Linked DNA regions of Rattus norvegicus. The protein of the gene in region 6 interacts with the protein of the main gene of each other region in a pairwise test. Links are inferred from orthologs where the notes say so. Each region holds a gene or a part of one and is shown on either strand. Other genes may lie near its edges. The genes, in order: Psmb5, Psmb8, Lsm4, Lsm2, Clic1 and Lsm1.

Evidence for each region.
Region 1: the proteins of Lsm1 (region 6) and Psmb5 interact in binary tests that used the Homo sapiens proteins (3 or more experiments, as listed by UniProt). The link is inferred for Rattus norvegicus from reciprocal best matches to the Homo sapiens genes LSM1 and PSMB5.
Region 2: the proteins of Lsm1 (region 6) and Psmb8 interact in binary tests that used the Homo sapiens proteins (3 or more experiments, as listed by UniProt). The link is inferred for Rattus norvegicus from reciprocal best matches to the Homo sapiens genes LSM1 and PSMB8.
Region 3: the proteins of Lsm1 (region 6) and Lsm4 interact in binary tests that used the Homo sapiens proteins (3 or more experiments, as listed by UniProt). The link is inferred for Rattus norvegicus from reciprocal best matches to the Homo sapiens genes LSM1 and LSM4.
Region 4: the proteins of Lsm1 (region 6) and Lsm2 interact in binary tests that used the Homo sapiens proteins (3 or more experiments, as listed by UniProt). The link is inferred for Rattus norvegicus from reciprocal best matches to the Homo sapiens genes LSM1 and LSM2.
Region 5: the proteins of Lsm1 (region 6) and Clic1 interact in binary tests that used the Homo sapiens proteins (3 or more experiments, as listed by UniProt). The link is inferred for Rattus norvegicus from reciprocal best matches to the Homo sapiens genes LSM1 and CLIC1.

What each region holds. Positions count from the first base shown.
Region 1 is NC_086033.1:32,044,580-32,048,665, reverse strand, and holds the start of Psmb5 (proteasome subunit beta type-5), read left to right. Parts: upstream 1-1,286; 5' UTR 1,287-1,297; coding exon 1,298-1,495; intron 1,496-2,199; coding exon 2,200-2,506; intron 2,507-4,086. UniProt on the Homo sapiens protein: Component of the 20S core proteasome complex involved in the proteolytic degradation of most intracellular proteins. This complex plays numerous essential roles within the cell by associating with different regulatory particles.
Region 2 is NC_086038.1:4,654,232-4,658,200, reverse strand, and holds the start of Psmb8 (proteasome subunit beta type-8), read left to right. Parts: upstream 1-1,169; 5' UTR 1,170-1,219; coding exon 1,220-1,366; intron 1,367-2,041; coding exon 2,042-2,189; intron 2,190-2,317; coding exon 2,318-2,429; intron 2,430-2,797; coding exon 2,798-2,927; intron 2,928-3,114; coding exon of another isoform or gene 3,115-3,297; exon of another isoform or gene 3,298-3,320; intron 3,321-3,346; coding exon 3,347-3,551; intron 3,552-3,839; coding exon 3,840-3,928; 3' UTR 3,929-3,969. UniProt on the Homo sapiens protein: The proteasome is a multicatalytic proteinase complex which is characterized by its ability to cleave peptides with Arg, Phe, Tyr, Leu, and Glu adjacent to the leaving group at neutral or slightly basic pH.
Region 3 is NC_086034.1:18,788,967-18,791,886, reverse strand, and holds the end of Lsm4 (U6 snRNA-associated Sm-like protein LSm4), read left to right. Parts: intron 1-371; coding exon 372-413; intron 414-807; coding exon of another isoform or gene 808-887; exon of another isoform or gene 888-1,381; intron 1,382-1,388; exon of another isoform or gene 1,389-1,408; coding exon 1,409-1,507; intron 1,508-1,584; coding exon 1,585-1,765; intron 1,766-2,023; coding exon 2,024-2,115; 3' UTR 2,116-2,420; downstream 2,421-2,920. UniProt on the Homo sapiens protein: Plays a role in pre-mRNA splicing as component of the U4/U6-U5 tri-snRNP complex that is involved in spliceosome assembly, and as component of the precatalytic spliceosome (spliceosome B complex).
Region 4 is NC_086038.1:3,848,866-3,853,165, reverse strand, and holds the start of Lsm2 (U6 snRNA-associated Sm-like protein LSm2), read left to right. Parts: upstream 1-1,500; coding exon 1,501-1,503; intron 1,504-1,672; coding exon of another isoform or gene 1,673-1,783; intron 1,784-2,033; coding exon 2,034-2,101; intron 2,102-4,300. UniProt on the Homo sapiens protein: Plays a role in pre-mRNA splicing as component of the U4/U6-U5 tri-snRNP complex that is involved in spliceosome assembly, and as component of the precatalytic spliceosome (spliceosome B complex).
Region 5 is NC_086038.1:3,775,568-3,779,715, reverse strand, and holds the start of Clic1 (chloride intracellular channel protein 1), read left to right. Parts: upstream 1-1,348; 5' UTR 1,349-1,580; coding exon 1,581-1,619; intron 1,620-3,409; coding exon 3,410-3,519; intron 3,520-3,707; coding exon 3,708-3,833; intron 3,834-3,968; coding exon 3,969-4,075; intron 4,076-4,148. UniProt on the Homo sapiens protein: In the soluble state, catalyzes glutaredoxin-like thiol disulfide exchange reactions with reduced glutathione as electron donor. Reduces selenite and dehydroascorbate and may act as an antioxidant during oxidative stress response.
Region 6 is NC_086034.1:72,981,582-72,985,081, forward strand, and holds part of Lsm1 (U6 snRNA-associated Sm-like protein LSm1), read right to left. Parts: intron 3,139-3,500; coding exon 3,023-3,138; intron 1-3,022. UniProt on the Homo sapiens protein: Plays a role in the degradation of histone mRNAs, the only eukaryotic mRNAs that are not polyadenylated. Probably also part of an LSm subunits-containing complex involved in the general process of mRNA degradation.

The DNA.
Region 1 (4,086 bases), on a different chromosome or scaffold from region 6:
TAGAAAGTAACTCTACAGTGGTGAGCCATCTTTAATCCCAGTGCTCTGGAGCCAGACCAGGCGTGAGGGGCCCAGTTTGAGGCCAGCTTGGTCTACACAGTAAATTCCAGCTCAAGCCATGACTATATATGGAGACTATTTTTCAAAAAACAAACAAACAAACAAACAAACAAACAAGGGAGTTTGAGTAATGGCTCAGTGGTTAAGAGCATCAGCTGCAGGGGTTGGGGATTTAGCTCAGTGGTAGAGCGCTTGCCTAGGAAGCGCAAGGCCCTGCGCTTATGTGTTTACTTTATGTATATGAGTGCTCTATCTGTATGTACTCCTGCATGCCAAAAGAGGACATCAGAACTCATTATAGATGGTTGTGAGCCACCGTATGGTTGCTGCTGGGAATTGAACTCAGGATATTTGGAAGAGCAGCTGATGCTCTCCCCCACCCCCCCCACTCAGAGCTGGGGACCGAACCCAGGGCCTTGTGCTTGCTAGGCAAGCGCTCTACCACTGAGCTAAATCCCCAACCCCATAAATCTTAAAAAGAAACAACAAAACAAAAATCTGGTGTGTGGCTCAGGCCTGCTGTCTCGTTAGTCTGAAATAAGGCAGGAAAACCTGGCCAGTTAGAGGGTAGCCTGGGCTATCTACCTAGTGAATTTAAGAACAATCGTACGCCCATCTTTAAAAAACCAAAAACCAAAAACCAAAAAGCCACAACAACAAAACCCAAACTATGGTATATAAATGCTATCAAAAAAAGAGGGGGTGGGGTTTTTGTTGTTGACCACACTATTGCGGCTGAATTAAAACCATGGGGAAATGCCCTGAAAACAGTTATTTTAGCCAGTATTACCATGAGTGGCCTTAAAGAAAACGACTACAGTCTCCTTAACTGGGTTTTCAGAAATAGGGACGCTGCTTATAACCTGAACCTGGGCCTTGGGCGGTGAATCCAGAATCCAGCTTAGATTCTCAAGCAGTCACGCCCTTCTCAAAGATGGCCGAACTCGCTTCCCTCACTCGACGTGAACGTTCCAACCACTCTCTAGGAATTTGAAGTTAATCTTAGCCGTACTGCTTCGACACCAAAGTAAAAATGACAATCTTAACCATTTAGCGTTCTCCTTCGCCCTTCCTAGCTGAAAACAGTCGGGCGCTGGTATTTGGAGGAGTGGTTGCCCGGAGTAAAAATGGCGCCTCCTCCGCATACTTAACTGGGCGTGAAGCTGTGACGTCGCGGCGTTGCCCGTCCGTTCTTTGGCGGTGTTCTCGGAGGCAGTTCCTGTTGCCCTTGCTAAACATGGCGCTGGCCAGCGTGTTGCAGCGGCCGATGCCGGTGAATCAGCACGGGTTTTTTGGACTCGGAGGTCGTGCAGATCTGCTGGACTTGGGTCCGGGGAGTCCTGGTGATGGGCTGAGCCTAGCCGCGCCGAGCTGGGGTGTCCCGGAGGAGCCACGAATCGAAATGCTTCATGGAACCACCACCCTGGCCTTCAAGGTACTCAGACAGCTCGCAATTCTCCGGCATCTCAGCGAGTCGGGCGGAGGTTCGGTCCTCTCATCCCGATCCTTAGCGGTTTCACTGTCTCAAAACTTTGAGAAAGGGGTGGTGGGCGGGGATGGGGAGCAGTGAGGGAAGGAGACGGACAGCGTGGGTTGACTCCTAGGCAACCCCAACTCAGGCGCCCTATCTGGGAACAGTAACAGCGGACCGTGGTGGAGGGAAAGAAAGCTATTATCGCTGTTCTCCCAAGCTTTTTATAAACTTGGAGTCCCCTCCGGGGAGCTTGATGAAGTCCAGGGACTATTGCAGTGAGTGCCAAACAGTTAGGGTCCCTGTTCCAGCTCTGCAATAACTGGCTCTGGATCTTAGGCCAGTCTTTAAAGATTTATTCTTATTTTTGTGTTTTGCCTTTATGTATATTCACCACGTGTGTAGTGCTCGCAGGGGCGCCAAAAGAGGGCATCGAATTCCTTGGAACAGGAGTTACAGACCTTTGTGAGCACTGGGAACGGAAGCTTTGAAGAGCAACCAGTGCTAAATCAGGGATTGCTCTTAAACCCAAATAACATCTAATATATGAAGTCGATTGTAAAACTAAAGGGATGCCAAGCCAGATTATCTTTCTGTATTTATACAAAAATAAGTATTGGGAGTATTTGTGGTCTTATGTGGCCTCTTTTTTTCTTGACCTTAATTAGTTTCAGCATGGAGTCATTGTTGCAGCGGATTCCCGGGCCACCGCAGGTGCCTACATTGCTTCCCAGACAGTGAAGAAAGTGATAGAGATCAACCCTTACCTTCTGGGCACCATGGCTGGGGGTGCAGCGGATTGCAGCTTCTGGGAGCGGTTGTTGGCTCGACAGTGTCGAATCTATGAGCTTCGCAACAAGGAACGCATCTCGGTCGCGGCGGCCTCCAAACTGCTTGCCAACATGGTGTATCAGTACAAAGGCATGGGGCTGTCCATGGGCACCATGATCTGTGGCTGGGATAAGAGAGGCCCGGGTGAGTTGTGCTGTGGTCCTGTGATCCTTGACACCACGGTTGGAGGGGTTGAACGGATCGACGCATTGAGGGCTTTTAATGGGTGCGGAGGATGGAAGTGTTCTTAGCCCTTCCTCCCTTTCCAAGGAAGGCATTGTATAGCAAAGGACAGGGAGTCAGACTTGCTGTGTCACTGACTGCTGAGGTAACCTTTATCCTTAGCCTGTTTCTTCATCTGTCAATTGGTTGAGTAAACCATCACCATGGTTAAGTGCGGTACATAGAAAGCAATTAGTATAATGTCTGCGCGACCGTTCTCCTCCTTTCCCGTACAATAATAAGGACAAGAAAACATTTGTACTTGAGAATTAAATTGATCGATAAACTAGCTAGCATTTTTTGACAGGACAAATTATGAGCTACCCACATTATTTTAATATTTCTCATGAGTAGCCAGGCCGTGGTTATCCAGTACTCAGGAGGCAGAGGCATGTGGCTCTCTGAGTTCGAGGCCAGCCTGGTTTACAGAGGGAGAGTCAAGGACAGAGAAACCCTGTCTCTAAAACAAAAAAAAGAAAAAGAAATTCTCATGAATTGTTTCCTTTTATATGCATGGATGTTTTGTCTGCTCACCATGTGTATGCCTGGTGCCTGAAGAGACCAGAAGAGGGAATTCCAGGGGTAGAATATAGTCACAGAGGGATGTGAGCCACGTGTGGTGCTCAGACTCAAACCCAGGTCCTCGGCGAGAGTGGCCTTGGGGCCATCCTCCAGCCCCGTTTTTTAAATTTTTAAGTTATTATTTATTTGTTAGTTTATAGTGTCTGCGTGGACAGAGCATACATGCAGTTCAGAGGATCACTTGTGGGAGTTGGTTCTCTTGTTCTGTGGATCCGGCTCAGGACATCAAGCCTGGTGGTAGTCGACAACTACATGCTCTGTGATCGTAGACCACTAGGGAGGTTGAAGCAGGAGGGTCAAGAGTTCGAGGCCAGCCTAAGCTATATAGCAGTAGAACAGCCTGAAGCACACAGAGACATTGTATCTCAGAAGTAGATATAACTAGTGGGCTTGATTTATTAGTTGATTTTTTTTTTTTTTTTATGAAATACCCAAATTATTTCTCAGTATTTGGCAGTAGCACCATTTTAAGTGTTGATGTCAGTTTCATGCAGTTGGTAGCCACAGGCGACAATGCTCAGCTATGGAGTTGCCATTTCTGTTCTGTTTCTTCTTTGACCTAAAAGGAGACAACTATCGCAACCCTGGGGTTATATTTTAAGTGTTATCTCCCACCATTCCTGAAGTTCTGTGCTTGAATTATCCAGCATACTTGCCTTTTGGAGTTGCCAAGAGAACAGGAGGGATGGTTTACATGCTGTGAGGAGAGATGAGTGGTGTGAACAGGAGGGATGGTTTATGTGCTGTGAGGAGAGATGGGTGGTGTGAACAGGAGGGTTGGTTTACATGCTGTGAGGAGAGATGAGTGGTGTGAACAGGAGGGATGGTTTACATGCTGTGAGGAGAGATGAGTGGTGTGAACAGGAGGGATGGTTTACATGCTGTGAGGAGAGATGAGTGGTGTGAACAGGAGGGATGGT
Region 2 (3,969 bases), on a different chromosome or scaffold from region 6:
CGATATTTATAATAAAACTGGTGTTTTGTACCGTGGTTTCTCCTGTTTCTTAGCTCCCACAAACTGCTCGATGAGTTAGCCAGCACCCTTCCCCACACACAGCCCAGTGTCCCGTTCTTCTTCAGAATTCTGTTTTACTGCCGGGTCCATCATCTTCCTGGCGCTCTCATTTCTCTTCCCTACCCACCCACCGACTCCTAGTGCTGAGCAGGACCAGGCGGCAGCCCCTCTGTCCCCGCACTCCAAGGCATCAGCAGCTGCATCTAGGAGCCCCTCTCTTCCTCGCTGAGGCTGGAGGAGGCGCGGCAGCGCAGCGGGGTGGGGGTGGGGGTGGGGGACTCCAGAACTCCAGACTGGATTACCTCGCTGGCTCTGATTTTTCTGAACCTCTCACCTTCTCCTCAGCCGCACACGCCGGAGTAATCTTAATGAAACGGAAAGGATTAGCCAGTAAATCTCTTCCATACAGGGAGGGCCCGGTGGCGTGACGTCAGCAGTTGCTGGGCAGATAAGGTCCGCAAAGGTTGGAAAGAGAGGTGGGGTTTAGGATTCAAGGAAGGAGCGCTCAGCTCTGACTTGCGCGACGTGAACAGCCCAGGGAGAAGGGAGCGTCCACGTGGGTTGCCTCAGGGTAGTGAGACTGTTGGACCGAGAGGGGCCCTAGAAAGGACACATAGAAAGACCCGAACTGTGCCCTCTCCTTGGTTCGTCCTTCCCCATTTTTTTTCCCCTGGTCGTCTCAGGACTTAAAGACCCCGTGCAACTATTTATCGCATTTTCCAGTTTCTATAAAACGATGCTCATTTAAGTGCTGCCCCCATCCCCAGGACGCACGCCTAGGTGAATCTGCTCAATGCTTCTCTTGGGTTCCAACTTTCTAGAGAACCTCTTTAAGGTGACAGGACCCTATCCAGTCCTCAGCTGTTCCCAGAAGATGCCCCTCGCCCCGACTGTGAGTCCTCAAGTACCCCACTGCTAGGTGGCCTCCGAAGGCGCACCTCTTCTTTTATCCCACAGCCCACTCTCTAGCTGGTTTTCATCGACGTGGCATCAGGAAAACTTGTCCCTAACATATTTTTAGTTCAGACACCCGTTAATTGGGCTCTACTCGGAAAGGGCAGGGGTTGGGGGTGGGGGACTGGTTCCCTCCTCTTGGTGCTGTGGCTTTCGCTTTCACTTCCTTGTCCGAGAGTCGACGGATCTCCGGGGCTAAGTCGTCATGGCGTTACTGGATCTGTGCGGCGCTCCTCGGGGGCAGCGGCCCGAGTGGGCTGCCGTGGATGCAGGAAGCGGGCTTCGCTCGGACCCGGGACACTACAGTTTCTCCGTGCAAGCTCCGGAGCTCGCGCTTCCCCGGGGAATGCAGGTGAGGACTGTAGGGGTTCTTGAGAGATGCAGGGGGTGGGTGGTGGTGGTGGCGGCACGTAGGAAGGACTGTCTGCCTGGGTCTGAGGAGGTGAGGAAGCATGGAGGGGCTGTTCAGAAGAGCAGCATCCAGGCCAGCCCTGAAGTTAGTTAACATGGGAAGGCTGGAAGGAGGGAGGATGAGAAAGGGGTGGGGGAGGGAGAGAGGGAGAGAGACACACACATGGAGGAGCCACAGAGAGACTGAGAAGATGGTTGGTGCCCACCCCAAGATACCATGCACAACTCGCCATGCCTTCACAGACCCACGAGTAACGACTACAGGGACTGCACAGTTGTCTTGGAAGACCAATGAACTTGAGAGGCTAACCTGGCCTCAGCAACCCTCCCTATGTATCCTAGGACACGTTAGGTGGCCTAGGCCTCAAGCCCCTCTACCGTAAAACGAGAATACGTTATTAAAATGTGCTTTTCGAGAACCGAAGGAGCCACGGATCAGGAAACACCTTGAAGTCGGCTACCATGGCCTTTGCTCCCGTGTTCCCGAAGGCAGAAAGCTGGCTTAGATCCTGCTTTCCCTTCTTCTGAGACATTGCCCTCTAGGGTCTGCGGACCCCTCCTCACCCCGAAACCCTGCCGGGAGCCTCCTAGAACTGAGGCCTCTTCCCTCTCTCAGCCCACTGAATTCCTAAGGTCCTTTGGTGATGACCAGGAAAGGAAGGTTCAGATTGAAATGGCGCACGGCACAACCACGCTGGCCTTCAAGTTCCAGCATGGAGTCATCGTGGCGGTGGACTCCAGGGCCTCCGCAGGAAGTTACATTGGTGAGTCCCCGGTGCTCCGGTGGCCAGGCCCTCTCAGCAGAGCTTAAGGCCTGCACCTAAGCGGGCATTGAGTTAGAGTGCATCAGGGAGAGCTGGGGCTCATTTCTTGGATCTCAAAACTCTTTCAGCTACCATAAGGGTGAACAAGGTGATCGAGATTAACCCTTACCTGCTTGGAACCATGTCTGGTTGTGCAGCCGACTGTCAGTACTGGGAGAGGCTGTTGGCCAAGGAATGCAGGTGGGCAGGTTTTAATCATTTGTTTGGTGCCCCTCCCCCATGTCCCCTACACCCACTCGGTGGTCTGCTGTGGTGATCATAAGGTTTTTAAAGCCTTTGTGTGATTAAAAAATCTCCCAAACCCTAGCCTGTGTCCCTGTTTATAAACCAGATAATCTGGCAATTATTTAACCGAAAGGATGGTGCCATTCACTAGGCTTTTTAAAAATGTGGTTCAGAGATTTCTAGATCCTAAATCTCTTTTTATTCTTACGTCGCACGGGTTCATACCTTCCAAACACACACCTCTACAATCCCTTCTCCCTCATTCTATGGGAGGGAAGGAATGCTCACCTGCTACCCCTGAGGCCTCCTTCCTCCCCCCACAGGCTATACTATCTGCGGAATGGGGAACGCATCTCCGTGTCTGCAGCCTCCAAGCTACTTTCCAACATGATGCTGCAGTACCGGGGTATGGGCCTCTCCATGGGCAGCATGATCTGCGGCTGGGACAAGAAGGTGGGTGGCCTGCCCCTATGCCCGCCTGGGTGAGAGGTCTCTTACCCATTGAGCCCTCCCCTCCCCTGTGCTTGGTCCAGGTTTTGACGTTTACTGAAGTGTGGCCTGTCTTTTGTTTTGTTTCTAATAAACACATTGTTACAGGTTTTTATTTAAAAACATTTATTTATTTATTTTATGTATGTAGTTGTCTTCAGACACACCAGAAGAGGGCATCAGATCCCATTACAGCTGGTTGCGAGCCTCCAGAACTCTGGAAGAGCAGTCAGTGCTCTTAACCGCTGAGCCATCCTCTCTAGCCCGCTTAAAGTGCGCCAATGTTTCTGTGGTGGTGATACTAGGTTGCCCGCTCTCCGCAAGTCACACCTGATCAATAAACCATTTCCAAGGTCAGCTCGGTATGTTTTCTCATCTTCTAGGGACCGGGACTTTATTACGTAGATGACAATGGGACTCGGCTCTCGGGACAGATGTTCTCCACAGGCAGCGGGAACACCTATGCCTACGGGGTGATGGACAGTGGGTACCGGCAGGATCTCAGTCCTGAGGAGGCCTACGACCTTGCCCGAAGAGCTATTGTTTATGCTACCCACAGAGACAGCTATTCTGGAGGAGTTGTCAACAGTAAGAGCCGGGTGCTCCCCACAGCACCTGGGGAAGCCACGGCTCCCCCAGCCCTTGGGAGAAGGGGGTGAGCTCAGATTGGGAGACTCGGGGGAGACGAGTAGAGATTGTCAGATGTGAGAACACTGAAGTCCCAGACAGAGGTTTGCAGCCTGTGTGTGGGGGCGCGGGGTGTGGGTGCTTAATGCTCATGTCAGGGACTGCTGCTTACACCATATCATCCTGGCAGAGACTCACTGCTTGCTGAAGAAAGGCCTGACGCCATGTTCTTTTCTCAATCACTCACAGTGTACCACATGAAGAAAGACGGTTGGGTGAAAGTGGAGAGCACTGACGTCAGTGACCTGCTGCACAAGTACCGAGAGGCCACTCTGTGATCACTGCTGGGCAGACATCCTCCCGGCCCTGAGGAGCTGGC
Region 3 (2,920 bases), about 54 Mb from region 6:
CCTTCCCACCTGGGACCCGGGGGACTCAAATCATCCCTTTTGGACGCACAGGTACAGGGTGTGGAGCAGAAATGCCAGGCAGGTGTGCAGCCCTGGGCATTCAGAAGGCTGTGGCCAGCATAGGCTGTATGACAAGGCTCTGCCTCAGAAAACCTACCAGGTTGCTACCTCCACACATTGGACTGTGCCCCCTTCTGTGTTTCTAGGTGACAGGAGTTGTGGAGAAATGACCAAAATGGTCCGGGATGTCCAGGTGGCCAACACCTGTAGAATGGGATGATGCGAGGTCACACAGCCGTGTGCATTGGGTAGCCATGCCCAGGTTGTCCCTGAATTGGGGGACACTCCTCACACTGACATTTGCCTTCCAGCTTCCCTTGTCGCTGCTGAAGACAGCCCAGAATCACCCCATGGTAAGCAAGGCTACTCTGGGCCACCTCCCTTCATGTGCCCTCACCCTAGTCCTTTGCAGTTTACGCTTGAAGCCTGGTACGATGGCTCAGTGGGTAGAGGTGCCTGCTGCCAAGCTGCAGGACCTGAATTCAATCCCCAGGACTCACACGATGGTGGAAGGGAGTCATGGCTTCCCTCTCTGCACACAGACAGAAATGCAATACAAAGTAAAATGTCTAAGGAAAATCTTTTAAAAGTAGTGTCAGGAAGAAACTGGGGCACAGTGCAACCCATGTATTCCCTGTCCCATCCCAAGAGTCCCCAGCACAGACAGGTCACCTGTCATCCCAGCTGCCTGGGAGGCTGCAGCAGGAGGATTGCCACTGGTTGAACCATTTTTTTTTTTTTGAAAAGGAGCAGCAGTATGGCTGCGTAGCCAAGACTTGGCCCTGAATGCTACGGGACTGGAGGAACCACAGGAGCGCTGCCTCTGATAGGCAGTGTGTCCCTAGACTTCACACAGCCAGAGCCTAGCCTTACACCTGTCAGCACCCATGTCAAGTTCACCCCAAGCCCTGGCTGCTTGTGTCCTGTGACCACCTACCCTCTGCACCTGCCTTTGCATCTTGTGAACATTTCTGAGTGAGGAGCGTGTGGCTGGCTCCGTGTCACTCAGAGGTTTTGAGTCATCCTTTTCTTGGCTGTGTAATATTCTTCCTATAGGTGACCAGACTGGGCTTGCCCATTGTCCCCTCACTATCCTCCTGTCACAGCCACCAGAGTCCTGGAATCACAGGTGTGTGTCGCCATGCCTACCTAGTGTGGAGTTTTAATTGTCTCTGTCCACACACTAGGTAGGGAACCTGGGTGGTGCCTGCTCATCACAGCACTTGCAGGTGAATGACAGCCCAGCCTCAAAGGTTGATTAGTTGCACAGAAAGCTGTAGTTTGGGATGTGAAGCCGGGTGTGTTTGAGCCCTGGCTGCTTGGCCTAGGCTGACGGGATCTCCTGCAGCTGGTGGAGCTGAAGAATGGGGAGACCTACAACGGGCACCTGGTGAGCTGCGACAACTGGATGAACATCAACCTTCGAGAAGTGATCTGCACATCGAGGGTGAGTGGTTACGCTGGGAAGGTGCATGGCTGGCCTGGATGGACTGTGCCTGCCTGTGACACTTCCCCTCTCCACAGGACGGTGACAAGTTCTGGAGGATGCCCGAGTGCTACATCCGAGGCAGCACCATCAAGTACCTGCGTATCCCGGATGAGATCATTGACATGGTGAGGGAAGAGGCCGCCAAGGGCCGAGGGCGAGGAGGACCGCAGCAGCAGAAGCAGCAGAAAGGCCGAGGCATGGGTGGCGCTGGCAGAGGTAGGGTCACGATGAGGGCGAGGTGGGGAAGGGAGGGATACCTGGACACTCTCCTCTCTGCACCCTGTACAGTCTCCATGGAGGACATAGTGGTGTGGGCTCCTGTTGGGCTGGGGAGGGGAGGGCTCTTTTCCCAGGTTGAGTATAACCTGGCATCTCCCACAGGCCCCTTGCACAGTGGCGTAGGGCATAGAAGGGAAGATCCTTGTCCCTGCCCAGGGAAGCTGGTGTCTACTCTACCTCTTCTGTCCTGTGCAGGTGTGTTTGGTGGCCGGGGCCGGGGTGGCATCCCTGGTGCAGGCCGAGGCCAGCCGGAGAAGAAGCCAGGGCGGCAGGCAGGCAAGCAGTGAGCAGTCCCAGCCTGAACTGAGTCCAGGAAGGTGGGTGAGGAGACCTCCGGGCGCCTTTGCGTGAAGCCCCACTTGGCGTCTGATCCAGTGAAATCCCTGACTGGCCACTTACTCAGTTTCTGGAAGGTTCCCAGTCTGAGTTGACTGTTAAGCCTTGGATGTCCTTTGAAGGGCTGGCTTCTTCCAGGCTTGTTTGAGTTTCATGTTGGAGCTGCAGGCTCCGCACATGGTGGTTTACCTGTCCTTTCCCAGCCCCACCCCCTACGTTTTCTGTTGGAAAAAATAAAGGCAAACACCACAGAAGGAGCCAGCCATCCCTCTGGTTACACGGACCCGACTTACAGTCCTAATCCCTGAGCACGGTTGTCTCACCAGAGGAAGCTGTTCCCTGGGTGTGGGGCTGTCTGTGTGTCCTGCCAGCAGAGGTGAGAGTGCAGCAGACAACACTTTTAGAGGGCAGAGAGGTAGGAGAGCCAGAAGTTTTAGGCCAGCTGGGGCTACAAAGCCCTTAAAAAGCCAAGCCTGTGATGGCTGACCCTCGGGGACAGGCAAGAGTGTGGGAGGTTAAGGCCACGGCTGGCAGGCTGCTCCAGCAAGCAGAACAGCTCTGACCCTGAGTAAACCCAGCACACTGCAGGGAAAGTGCACCTAGGGAGAACACACCATGGGACGTGTGTGAGTGCAAGTGAGAGAGAGACTGTGTGCGTGTGTGTGTGTGTGTGTGTCCATCTGTGTGTGTCCATCTGTGTGTGTCCCCAGCACATGCATACCTGGTTCCCAGAGGGAGCAGAAGATGCTGTTGGAA
Region 4 (4,300 bases), on a different chromosome or scaffold from region 6:
ATAAGGGCAAAGTACTTGAATTTGTGTAAGTTGAGCATATCCAACAATTTTTTTTTTGGTTTTGAGGCAGGTCTGCCTCAAATGTCTTTCGTTCATGCTGCCTACATGACTGGAATTACAGAACGTTACACCTGCCAGGAAAAATATTTTCTAATTCTCAGGCACCCTGAGCCCATAGGAAGCAGCTGCTAAATGTACTGACTGCTTCTAACCAGTGACAGCCTCTTTTAGATTCAGGTGTTAAAGTTTCTGTTGAAACTCGGTAACATCTTGCTTGGTAATCATGATGGATCCAGCTCTGAACACAGTGATGTGCACAGGTGGAGTGGGGTAGGTAGGACAGAGAGGGAAGACACATCTTAGGGTCTTGCTGGCAAGTCAGTCTAGCTGAATGAACCTGTCCATTCCAGGATCAGTGGCAGATCCTGTCTCAGAAAATGAGATGGCTAAGTCGTTAAGGACATATGTTGCTCTTCGGCAGGACCAGGGTTTGATTCCCAGCACCCGTATGGTGGCTAACAACTATAACTCCAGAGGATCCAACACACTCTTTTAGTGTCTGGGAACACTGCACATGTGGTACACAGATATACGTGCAAGGAAAAACTCACACATATAAAATTTTAAAATATTAAGTAAGTGGAAAGAACAGCCAGCATTCATCTCTGGCCTACACAGGCAGGCATGCTCCAAGCTTCACCCAGACCCCCAGGAAACCGACTTTTTTGGTATCATGCAATCAGCAGGCCTAGTCTCTCAGAATTCTCACCTGTGTACCATGACTGCCTTGCACCAACAGCCAGCCTCGAGAAGACAAAATAGCAAGTGTTTTCCTATTTATCCAGACATGATATCTACAGAAGCTATAACCTAGCAACTTCCCATTTAATTACTAGTAAAAATAATACGGCTGGAGAGATGGCTCAGCGGTTAAGAGCACTGACTGCTCTTCCAGAGGTCCTGTGTTCAAATCCCAGAAACCACACGGTGGCTCACAACCATCTGTAATGGGATCTGATGCCCTCTCCTGGTGTGTCAGAAGACAGCTACAATGTACTTATATATAATAACTCAATCTTTTTTAAAAGAATATGCAAGTCATAATTTTCTCAATCTTCCCAATAATTCTCAGTAGAAAGCGTAGAGTATGAGCAAGTCACCCGGCACAGAGAAGAATCTAAAAAATTATCAGGGAGGCGAACTACATCCAACGCGCAGCTGCTATGGCCCACGCACGCGCTCGGGAGGGAGGAGTTCCTTGGGAGGAAGTGGGAGACAGGAAGTCCCGCCCTCCTCCCGGTTTGGCGGTCCTCTCTGCTCTGCCCTACTCCGCTCCCTTTGAGCCCAGATTCAGCCGCGGTTTTCGCGGTTCCCCTTGCGCCTGCGTGATCCTGTCCTGCCTCACGCGCGGGCTCGTGCTCCGGCTCCCGCCCTGCCTCCGGCCCGCAGTCCCCGGCGCCTTCCTTCGCGGTCCAGGCCGCCCCTCGTGGCGCCAGCACCATGGTGGGTACCGTGACGTCAAAAGGGAGCGCCGCCGCCCGCGGCGGGCGGTTCGAACTGTTCGGGTCTTGGTTGCGCTCTAGTGTTTGTTGCCTTGGGCTGTAGCTAAGCCCTAGGGTTTTCCTTACAACCTCAGGGCCCACACCCTGTGTGAGGAGACTGCTTGGAACCAATGGTTTTTTTGGGGAAACTTCCAGCAAGTCCAAGAGAAAGCCCACGGGCGCCGGGGGAGAACGGAAAGCTAGTCTTGCATTTCCGTGCTGGAGATCAGGATTTTGTGAGGGTGCGGTTGGGAAGCGGTCTCGAGCAGGGAGGTGGTCGATTCGGAGAGTGGGTTCTGGCATCGAGGGGTGCAGCGCAGTTATTGTCTCTCTGTGGCCCCAGGAATTGCAGTCTCTGTTAACGGATTGTTGATGGTGGTGAAATTTTGAGAACTACTAGGTGGGGCCAAAAGGACTGGTATTTCAAATGCCGTCACGGGTTCCTCCTCCCTGTCCCTTTTCATGTGATAGTTCCTCCCTCTTTTCCAATAGCTCTTCTACTCCTTTTTCAAGTCCCTTGTGGGCAAGGATGTAGTCGTGGAACTCAAGAATGATCTGAGGTAGGTCTTTATTTCAGCGAGTTGGTGGAAGGTGGGAGGTGCCTGGTGTCCTGATCGTTTTCGTGGTTGTTGTTCACAAAGCTATTTTAGAGCAGAGGGGCAAAACACAGAAGAAATATCTTGTGTCTTGAGTGTAAAGATTAGTTTAAGAGTGAGCCTGGTGCTGTGGCACATGCGTGTAATCCCAACGCTGATGCAGAATTGTGAATTCAAGGACAGTTTGGTCTACATATGTCCAGGGCCAGCCAGAGTTACACAGTGAGATACAGTTAAGTAACATGTATGTGCAGTCCTGGATGTCCCGGAACACACAGATCCGCCTGCCTCTGTCTCCTGAGTGCTAGGATTTGCCCTGCTGTATCATTTGCTCTTAACCATTCAGGAGTGGATTAAATGCTGTATCACTGGAAAGATGTTTATGGCTTCTTGTCACATCATCCATTAGAGTCTACTTTCTTTTTTTGTTTGTTTGTTTGTTTATTATACATAAGTACATTGTAGCTGACTTCAGAAACACCAAAAGAGGGCATCAGATCTCATTATAGTTGGTTGTGAGCCACCATGTGGTTGCTGGGATTGAACTCTGGACCTCTGGAAGAGCAGTCAGTGCTCTTAACCATTGAGCCATCTCTCCAGCCCCTAGAGTCTACTTACTTTCTTTCTTTCTTTCTTTCTTTCTTTCTTTCTTTCTTTCTTTCTTTTTTCTTTTCTTTTGTTCGGGGCTGGGTACTGAACCCAGGGCCTTGCGCTTGCTAGGCAAGCGCTCTACCACTGAGCTAAATCCCTAATTCTAGAGTCTACTTTCTTAATAGTGCTTAGAAAATTATAGGTGTCACTGATGTCTATTTTTTTTTTCATGTACTGGATGGGCATGCTCAACAGGTGAACTTCATTTCCAGCCCTCGTGTTTCTTTTTAAAATCCTTTTATTTGTAGACTCTTGAAACCTTTGAGCACAGGTCAGTGCTTGAGAGCCTTGATTCTAAGACAGAACGTGGTGTTGACAAGCAGGATGGTTATGGCCAGTGTGGGCAAGTGAGAGGCTGGCCCAGGCCGGGGTGGAGAGTAGCTAAGACTTTTTCTAGTCTAAAAGTCAGACCACACAAGTGTTCTTCCACAGAGCAGTGGGGGTTCGTAGAATGTAGAGAGTGAAGAAGTAAAATGCAGGATCTGGGGTTGTTAATTAAAATTTTAATTCCTCTGCACCTCCGTGCAGTGGGTAAATATAAGATGGGTAACATGGTGTGGGAGCAGTGGCTTTGATAACTGTACTCAGGACTAGAGGGTGGGGGAGTGTAGCATTAATAATAGTTAATTTCAGCTGCCATGTATATGTAGGTCTCTGGCTCCAAAGCATAAATGTTTACAAGTAACAGCTATTGGAGCTGCAGAGATGGCTTGGTGCTTTAAAAAGAGCTTGCTGCTCTTCCAGAGAAATAGAGTTCAGTTCCCGGCAGCTACATTAGGTGATTGACAACAGTTTGTTGGGCTGAATACAACTCCTTAGAACTCTGGCTTCAATGGATCTGATGCCCTCTTCTGGTCTCTGTGGGTAACTACATGCACATACACACAAATAGTAAAAATCAGTATTTAAAAATAATGGATGTTTCTGGGAGTCGTGCAGATCAGGGCTGACATTCCAGTTCATTTGTGTAAGTTTTGGTACCTTACATGACCTCTCATAAGTCCTGGATGATACTACTTTGAAAGGTGATTAGCTGAGTGGTTGATGGCTGTTCATCCCTTAAACCTTTAAACCTAGCCCTCAGGAGGCAGGGGCAAGGGCAGGGGCAGGGGGGAGTTTGAAGCCTGCCTTATCTACAGAGCTAGTTCTAGAACCCCACAGGGAAACCCAGTGGGCAATGGCCATGAGTAGTGCTCCTAGCTGTAGTTCTAGAACTTCAGAAGTGGAGGTAGGAATGCCAGAAGTTGGAGGCCAGCCTGGGCCAAGTGAGAACCTGTCTTAAAGTGGAAATACTAATATTAAATGGAGCATAGGCCCGGCCTGACTACGAGCTTCTGATGTGTTGGTGTGAGGACAGACTGAGTCTGAGGTGCTTTATCATTTCCACCTCAGAACTTACAGGGGCTGCCTGCTGGCTTCAGGGCCTAGAGTTCCTCCCCCCTTGTCACTGTAGTTCTGATTTTCCCTCTGCTGATTCCAGCATAAATGAATGCTTCTCTCCTCTTTGCTCCC
Region 5 (4,148 bases), on a different chromosome or scaffold from region 6:
GCCTTCCCCCAGGGAGGAGAACACTCTCAGAAGAGGAAGCACGAGAGGAAACCACTAACTTCTGTTCCAGCATTACATGCATCACTCCACCTCAGCCCCCCTTGTCTCTTTCAGTTCTCAGTCCAGTTTTGTTTCTCAGTCGTTCCAAGTCCAGCATATTTTTCTTCAAATTATATATATATATGCACACATATATAATATGCATACAGACACATATATATGAGTATGTGTGTATGCATGTATACACACACACACACACACATATATATATATTTTAGACTGAGTAGAAAAAAAAGGTAGTTGGACAGTAGAGAAACTTAGAGTGTGGAGGTTAGACATTGGCAGACCTGTTTTTAGATATTTTTAAAAATTGGTGGTAATAGAGCTCTCACTTCAGCAACACAAACACTAAAACGGGAACGTTACAGAGATCAGCAGGGCCCCTGGGCAAGGATGTCACACAAATCCGCGAGGCGTCCCGTATTTTTATTTGCCCGTGCTTGACGTAAAGTCATGGGTAATTAAAAGATACCGAAGTGGGGGAAAAAAATAGGTAGTCAAGTTATATCTCTATACTACAGTTGGATAGAACCTCCAAAATCGAGCCTCCCGGGGAAAGTTACTTTTTCCTGACTCTGCTCACACTAATCTCTCTGACCTTTGCTTTTTACTTCCTGTGACAGAACCAGTCGCCATCCCACCCACCCCAGGATGAGCCCCAGTGCTATCCTAGTATCAGGATAGGTCTCCAAGGCAACCTTCACCACTGAGAGGAGGGTAAGGGGCCCAGGCTAGGGAAGTCTAAGCGTTGACAGGCTTTCAGAGGACCGCCCCCTGCCGTGGAGCCTGGGCTCTGCTTCCTGTTTCGCCAGCATCAGGCCTCCTGGTCTCTCCCGGCCTGTGCCTACGAGTGCCCTTCACCCATCCGTATTCCTAACCTCACTAACTCCTTCCCAATCCCCCTCCACACATACAGAGCACAGTCCCTCCCAGCAAACCCGAAGACAAGACTGGAAGTGAAAAGAACGCAGAACCCTTGCATCCTCAGACTCCCTTTCTGCACCCTCGTGGGGGACGGAGGGGGCCAGTTCGCTAGTGTCAAGTTTCCCTGTTTGAACGTGGCCACCCTTCTCATTAAAGAAGCGAGGAAACTGAGGCACAAACGTGGTGCTGTGCTTAGGAATGGTCAGGGCATCGAGGGAGCCCCGGGACCTCCCTCCTAACACTTTATCCCTGAGATCCCCGAGACCTCTGCCCTCTGTCCCGGACCCACTCCCACGATCACCGAGTCCCCTCCCCACATGTCCCCTCCCCAAGTCCAGGGCGGGGCCGGTCGGTGAGTCAGCTGCTCCCTGAGCTAAACGGGAGGGAACGAGGTGGAGCAGCTGGGTGTGGGGTGCACTGAGCCGGTGGGTAAGCCGCGTTGGAGAGAACTAAAGGGTCTGATCGGACTTAGGTTGCGCCGAAGGGACAGCTCTGAGTCTGGAGGAGAGAATCCCGGGCCGTGAGACCCGCCTTCCCTTGCCCGGGCCCCTCCCAGTTCCCCCAGCGACGGCTGCTTCCTGGTCCCCGACGCAACCATGGCTGAAGAACAACCTCAGGTCGAATTGTTCGTGAAGGTAAGAACACCTTCTCTTTCTTTGGCCACTCTCAGAATTTCTGCAAGCCAATCCTCCCCTCTCCTGGGCTCCAGCTCTAACTCCCCAACCCCTTCCTAGTTGACCCCACCCCTAGCCCTGGCGCTGTTTTGCTGGGAGGTGGGGGTGACTTGTGAGACGGTAATGAGAGTTCCAGACTCTCTGAAAAGTTTATGGAAGAGGTTTCCAGCAGCTTAAAGGAGAGAAAGGTGAAGAAATGGGGTTTTCAGAAGTGAGAGAGTGAATGGGGTACGGTGCGGGGTTCGGGGGGGGGTGCAGACGACTGAAGGACCGAGAAAGGGACAGAGGTGGGGTTCAAGAAGAAGAATCGGCTAGGACGTGTGGCCCTATGAAAGAAAGAAAGATGGGACAGAGAGAGAGAGAGAGAGAGAGAGAGAGAATCTAGAAGGGTTGAAGGATGAGTGTGTCGCAGAGTGGAAGCAAAGAGCCTTCACGAAGCAGCACAATCAATGGCTGAGATGACTATCCCCCCACCCACCCCTCCAGCTAAGGGAGGCTAGAGACTGTGAGGCAGGAAGGAGATTAAAGTTTAGCCATAGTTACTTAGGAAGAGAGGAGAGCTCCAAAGGGGACAGGAGACTCCTTGGGTTAGATTAAAATACCGGGGCTGATGGGTATGGAAGAAAAAGCACCCCCCCACACTGCCCTCCTCCTTCATGCCATCCTCTCCGTGGGTGTGGTCAAGGAGAGATGGTCCTGGGCTTTTGGGTTCAGAAACCGGTGGCTGCAGCTCTCCTCCTCTGCCCAGGCCCGGCCACTCCGGCATCACCCTTCCCCATACCCCCATGCGGTCCCTTCCTCTCCGGGCAGGTCTCCTCCCAGTGGGTGCACATTCGCACCCCCTTTTGCTTCTCCGCCTCCCTTTGCACTCCTGGTTCGTCTTGTCTGTGTGTTGGGTGTCCTGTTTATCTCTATGCTTTTTTTTCCCCTCTGGGTTTTCCCTGGCAGCCTTTCCCAGTTTCTTGGCCCTGGGAAGAGAACTGGAGCCTAGGTCCGCCCCTTAGGTGTGGTCCCCACCTCACACTCGCCTCCAGGGGCTATTTTTACCCTGAGTGAGGTGATGCTGTGGAGATGTTGGCCCTGTGTCCTGTGAGGAGGATCTCAGAGAATCAAAGAACGAGAAGAGTGAGGATTTGGGGAACTGGAAGGGTGTCAGTAGCTGCCTAGGCCTCTGTGAGTACAGATCCCTGCCCCCACTTCCTTGCCGGGAAGGAAGCTGCTGAGGCCTGAAGACACAGAAATGAATCACCCTCAGTCTAGGGGGAGGTGTCCCTTGGGGGATGAGGTCACCTGCATCCAATTAGAGAGTTGCCCCCTTTGTTAGGCCCTCCATATCGCTAAGGTGAGGTTAGGTCCTCTGGCTCACCAGCCCAGCTTCCAGAAACAGCTTGAATAGAGGTTTAGAGAATGGGGACCCGGTTTCCAAACCCTGCCCTACCTCTCTGCTCCACTGGAGAAGATCTAGTATTCAATTCCAGCCCCACCAAGTACCCTATTCTCCACCTTTTGGATCCTGATTCTCAAAGCTAGCCAAGACTTAACTGTTCCTCTGCCTCCTCCCCCCTGTCAATCACTGGGATGCCACCGGCGCCTACCTTTGCTGATCCAGGCCCAAAGGGGAAAATAATTCGGCCCTGGGGGTGGCTTAGACGTCTTAGCAGTGTCTGTCAGGACTAGCAGGAGATTCAGAGAACAGGTCTGGTAAGGATGAGGTGCACCAGGCCTAACTCTGGGGTGCCGTTGCTTTTCAGGCTGGGAGTGATGGCGCCAAGATTGGGAACTGCCCCTTCTCCCAGAGACTGTTCATGGTGCTGTGGCTCAAGGGAGTCACCTTCAACGTTACCACCGTGGACACCAAGAGGTGGGCCCCCTCCTGCCCCTTTCAACATCCCTTATGTAGACGCATGTGCACACGTATGCGCATGCGCACCCACGTGACCCCCTTCTACCTTAAACCTGTCTCGCTTGTCTGGAGCAAATCTACTTCTCCTACATCCCGAGGTCTCTGGTCCCCCCTTTTCCTTCCTTGACACGTGGCCCCTTCTCCAGACGGACAGAGACGGTACAGAAGCTTTGCCCCGGTGGGCAGCTCCCGTTCCTGCTCTACGGCACCGAAGTGCACACAGATACCAACAAAATCGAGGAGTTCCTGGAGGCCGTGCTGTGCCCTCCCAGGTACGGGGGACACTCGGAAAGAAAAGGGGAACTGGGAGGCTTTTCGGAACAAAAGTTGAAGAGGGGAGGCAGGTGGCCAGCCTTAGGGCAGAGTCCCCCCCAGAAAGGACTTCACCTTATCCCTCTGCCTTCCAGGTACCCAAAGTTGGCTGCTCTGAACCCCGAATCCAACACCTCGGGGCTGGACATATTTGCCAAGTTTTCTGCCTACATCAAGAACTCAAACCCGGCCCTCAATGACAGTGAGTGTTGTGGGTCAGGGGTTTGGGTCCTACAGAAGATTCTAGGGTTGGGGCACCAGGAGCCCCCGTGAGC
Region 6 (3,500 bases):
TCATGAGGCCAGGTAAGCATTCTAGTTTGGTCCAATGCATTCAATTTCTCTAGTAATTTAGCTTAAAAAAATTTATTTAAGTTTTTTTTTTTTTTTTTTTTTTTTTTTTGACCAGAGTTTCTCTGTGTAGCCCTGGATAGCATAGACCTTTCTTTGTAGACCAGGCTGGCCTTTGCCTCCCAAATGCTAGGATTAAAGGCATGTATCACCATGCTTGAATTAATTATTTGGTTTAATAAAAATACTACTTCATTTTTCTTACTTCAAAAATATACACTGGGGAAGGGGGGTGGTTGGGGAGAGGGAACACCCTTATAGAAGGGGGAGAGGGGTGGGGGATTATGGACAGGAAACCAGGAATGGGAATAACATTTGAAATGTAACTAAAAAATATCCAATAAAAAATACATACTGTAGGAAAGTTATACTACAGACACTTTAAAATTACAACTCTTGTATAGAAAGAACACAAATACTTTGATGAATGTTGTAAGATTTTCAGATGTAGGCCAGTCTATGTGTTATCAGAAGCACTGACTCTATGTATCTTCTGGAACTGTGTTTTTAAATGTTGTGTGTCTTTGCATGTGTGAAGATGTAAGGACAGCTTGGTGGAGTCTGTCTGCTTCTTCCACAGTCACTTGAGTTATGGGACTTCAAAGCTCTGATTGTCAGCCTTGCACCATCTTCCAGGCCTAAGAACTGTTTTGTTCTATGGGATCACCCAGAGCAAGGGATCACCCAGAGCATGGGATCACCCAGAGCATGGGATCACCCAGAGCATGGGTGTGCAGGCAAGCATTCTGCTGCGTAGCTGTATTGTCAAACCAGGCACATCTATGACTTAGAACCAAACCAAATTCATAATGAAAATAGTGACTACATTTTCTTTTCATCTAACACAGAATATAATTAGTATTAATGTCATAAATATTTAATAGCCAACTTTGTATGTAGAACTATATACGAGCCTCATTATCTGTTTACCCTTAAAATGTATAGGTATTATTTATATTTCTATAACATAAAAAACCTATACAAAGTAGCAAAGTATGGCTGGGCTCTCCCCAAATAAGCCCAGACACGCTCTTGTTTCCTCAGCAAAAGCTGTCCTAGAATTCCCTCTGTAGCCCAGGCTGCCCTCACACTGTTCTCTGCTAGTGAACACGGGATTACAGGTGTGCCACTGCAGCAGGCTATCTATATTCCTGTTTCTGTTCCTGTGTTGGATTTTTTTTAAAGATTTATTTTTATTTTAGGTATGTGAGTACACTGCCGCTGTCTTGGCATCAGATCTCATTACAGATGGTTGTGAGCCACCATGTGGTTGCTGGGAATTGAACTCAGGACCTCTGGAAGAGCAGTCGGTGCTCTTAACTGCTGAGCCATCTCTCCAGCCCGAAGGATTTCTTTTCTAAGGATTTTGTTTTATTGTTTGTTTATGTGTATAGGGTGTACCTGCAGGGGCTAGGCAGGGGTTCAGACAGTCTAGAGCTGGAGTTACAGTCAGTGATGAGATGCCCTGTGTGCGAACTGGGAATGGTTTGGTTCTCTAAAACAGCAGCAAGCACTCAATTACTGAACCATCTCTCCAGCTCCTGTAATGACTTTTGATGAGAAGGTTTAGAAAGACACTCATCAAAAACCTCTGCCCATGCTTCGGTCTGGATGCTAACTGACACATGCACGCCTCCAAGGTTGCAGAGCTCAGCACTTGTGGTATCAGCTGGAGGACTCTGACCAGATTAGAAGCCACGCAAGTTGCATAAGTCACCTGGGTCAAAAGTTATCTGCTAAACTATATAATCACCCAACCCTCTCCTGGATGAAGAAAAGCCAGTGTTCTTAGCTCTCTTCCTAGTTTTCAGTGTGTCACTCACTGAGTGACTCATTCCCGTGACTGGGATCCTCCATCATCAAGGCAGAATCCAGGCACCTCTTTTTTTCTTTTTGGAATTAAGGTCTTGCCCAGGCTGGCCATAAACTTGAGATCTTCCTACCTCAGCCCCCATGCCACCATGGGGTACCATTAGAGACTACTTATGCAATACAATGTTTTTCTAAATAGATTCTGGCTATGGTTCTGAGCTTTAGTACATAATTTCTTCAGACTGATTCACATAATCATCTTTTTAAGAAGAATGTTTACGTGCAACCTGTTCATGCTTAGAACCTACAGATGGCATCAGAACCCTCAAAGCTTAAGTTACTGATGACTGTAAGTCACCATGTGGCTGCTGGGAAGTTAACCCATGTTCTCTGCAAGAGCAGCAAGTGCTCTGAACTGCGAGCCTCTTTCTAGCCCCACCACGAAACTATTTTAAAGTGAGGCATTAATACAGTTTACAGCATTAAAGTGAGGGGTTAATACAGTTTACAGCATTAAAGTGAGGCATTAATACAGTTTACAGCAGTACTTGGGTGGTACTGCAAGTTCATGCACATCAACAAGTAAAGGCCGACACAGGGCGTCTTTACCTTGTTCTCTCAGTTTTTGAGTCAAGGAACCTGAACTCTTGGTGTGTGCTAGACTGGCTGGCCTCTGAGGTCACAGAGCTGTCTGTTTTCACTTTCCCGTGCTGCGATTACAGCCTTGGACACCATGCCGGGCTCTGAGTGCTGGGGATCCAAGCTCAGGCTCTCATGGTTGTACAGCAAACTGCCATCTGCCTAGCCCAGTGTGTTGGAGACAGGGACTCATGCAGGCCAAGCTGAATTCAGTCACTACACATGTGTGCTGCCCCTGCACCGGCCATGTTAATCTCTGTGCTGTTCACATCTTAGTATGTGTGCTACACCAGCAATGTTGTTTTCTATTGGGTGAAGCCAGTAACATTTACTAGTGAGATCAAATCTTTAAAACGCCAAAGGCCACAGACTAACGTTAATTACCTTCTTCAGTGTTGCTCTAGCAACTACAGCTTCCCTACTTGGTGGCTTCCTGTGAGAAAATGTGGTGAAATTGGAAAGCAGCAGCCAGCATCAGTGCCCAGATCCACAGCAGTTTAACAGTCTCACTTACTATTTCTCCTAGTAGGACCACATTTTCTCCTCTGACCACGAAAATCCCTCGAGGAATATCACCGTACTTTCTGCCCACGTGAATTCGCTCCACAGTCTGATGGAGCACTAGGTTAGCTATAAGCATAAAAGAAGAAACAGATATTCAGTTCATATTGTTGACTATAAAGGTCTATAACTCAATTACTTAGTTGTTTTTTTTTTAATTTCAGCAATAAGCCATTTATGAAAATTTGGTTTCTTTTTTGGGGGGCTAAGGGGCAGCGTCCTACTCTAGCCTCAGCAGGCCTGGAAATCATGATATAATCCAGGCCTTCCCAGCATTTGTGGTGATTCTCCTGCTTCAACTTCTTATACATGCTGAGATTGCAGGCATGTTCAGTTTTAGGAGACTTTCAGACAAGGAAAGAGTCTTTCTGACTATGTTTTGCTAATGAGTGACTGATGGTAGGAATAAGTTACTTCTGTATCATTTCACT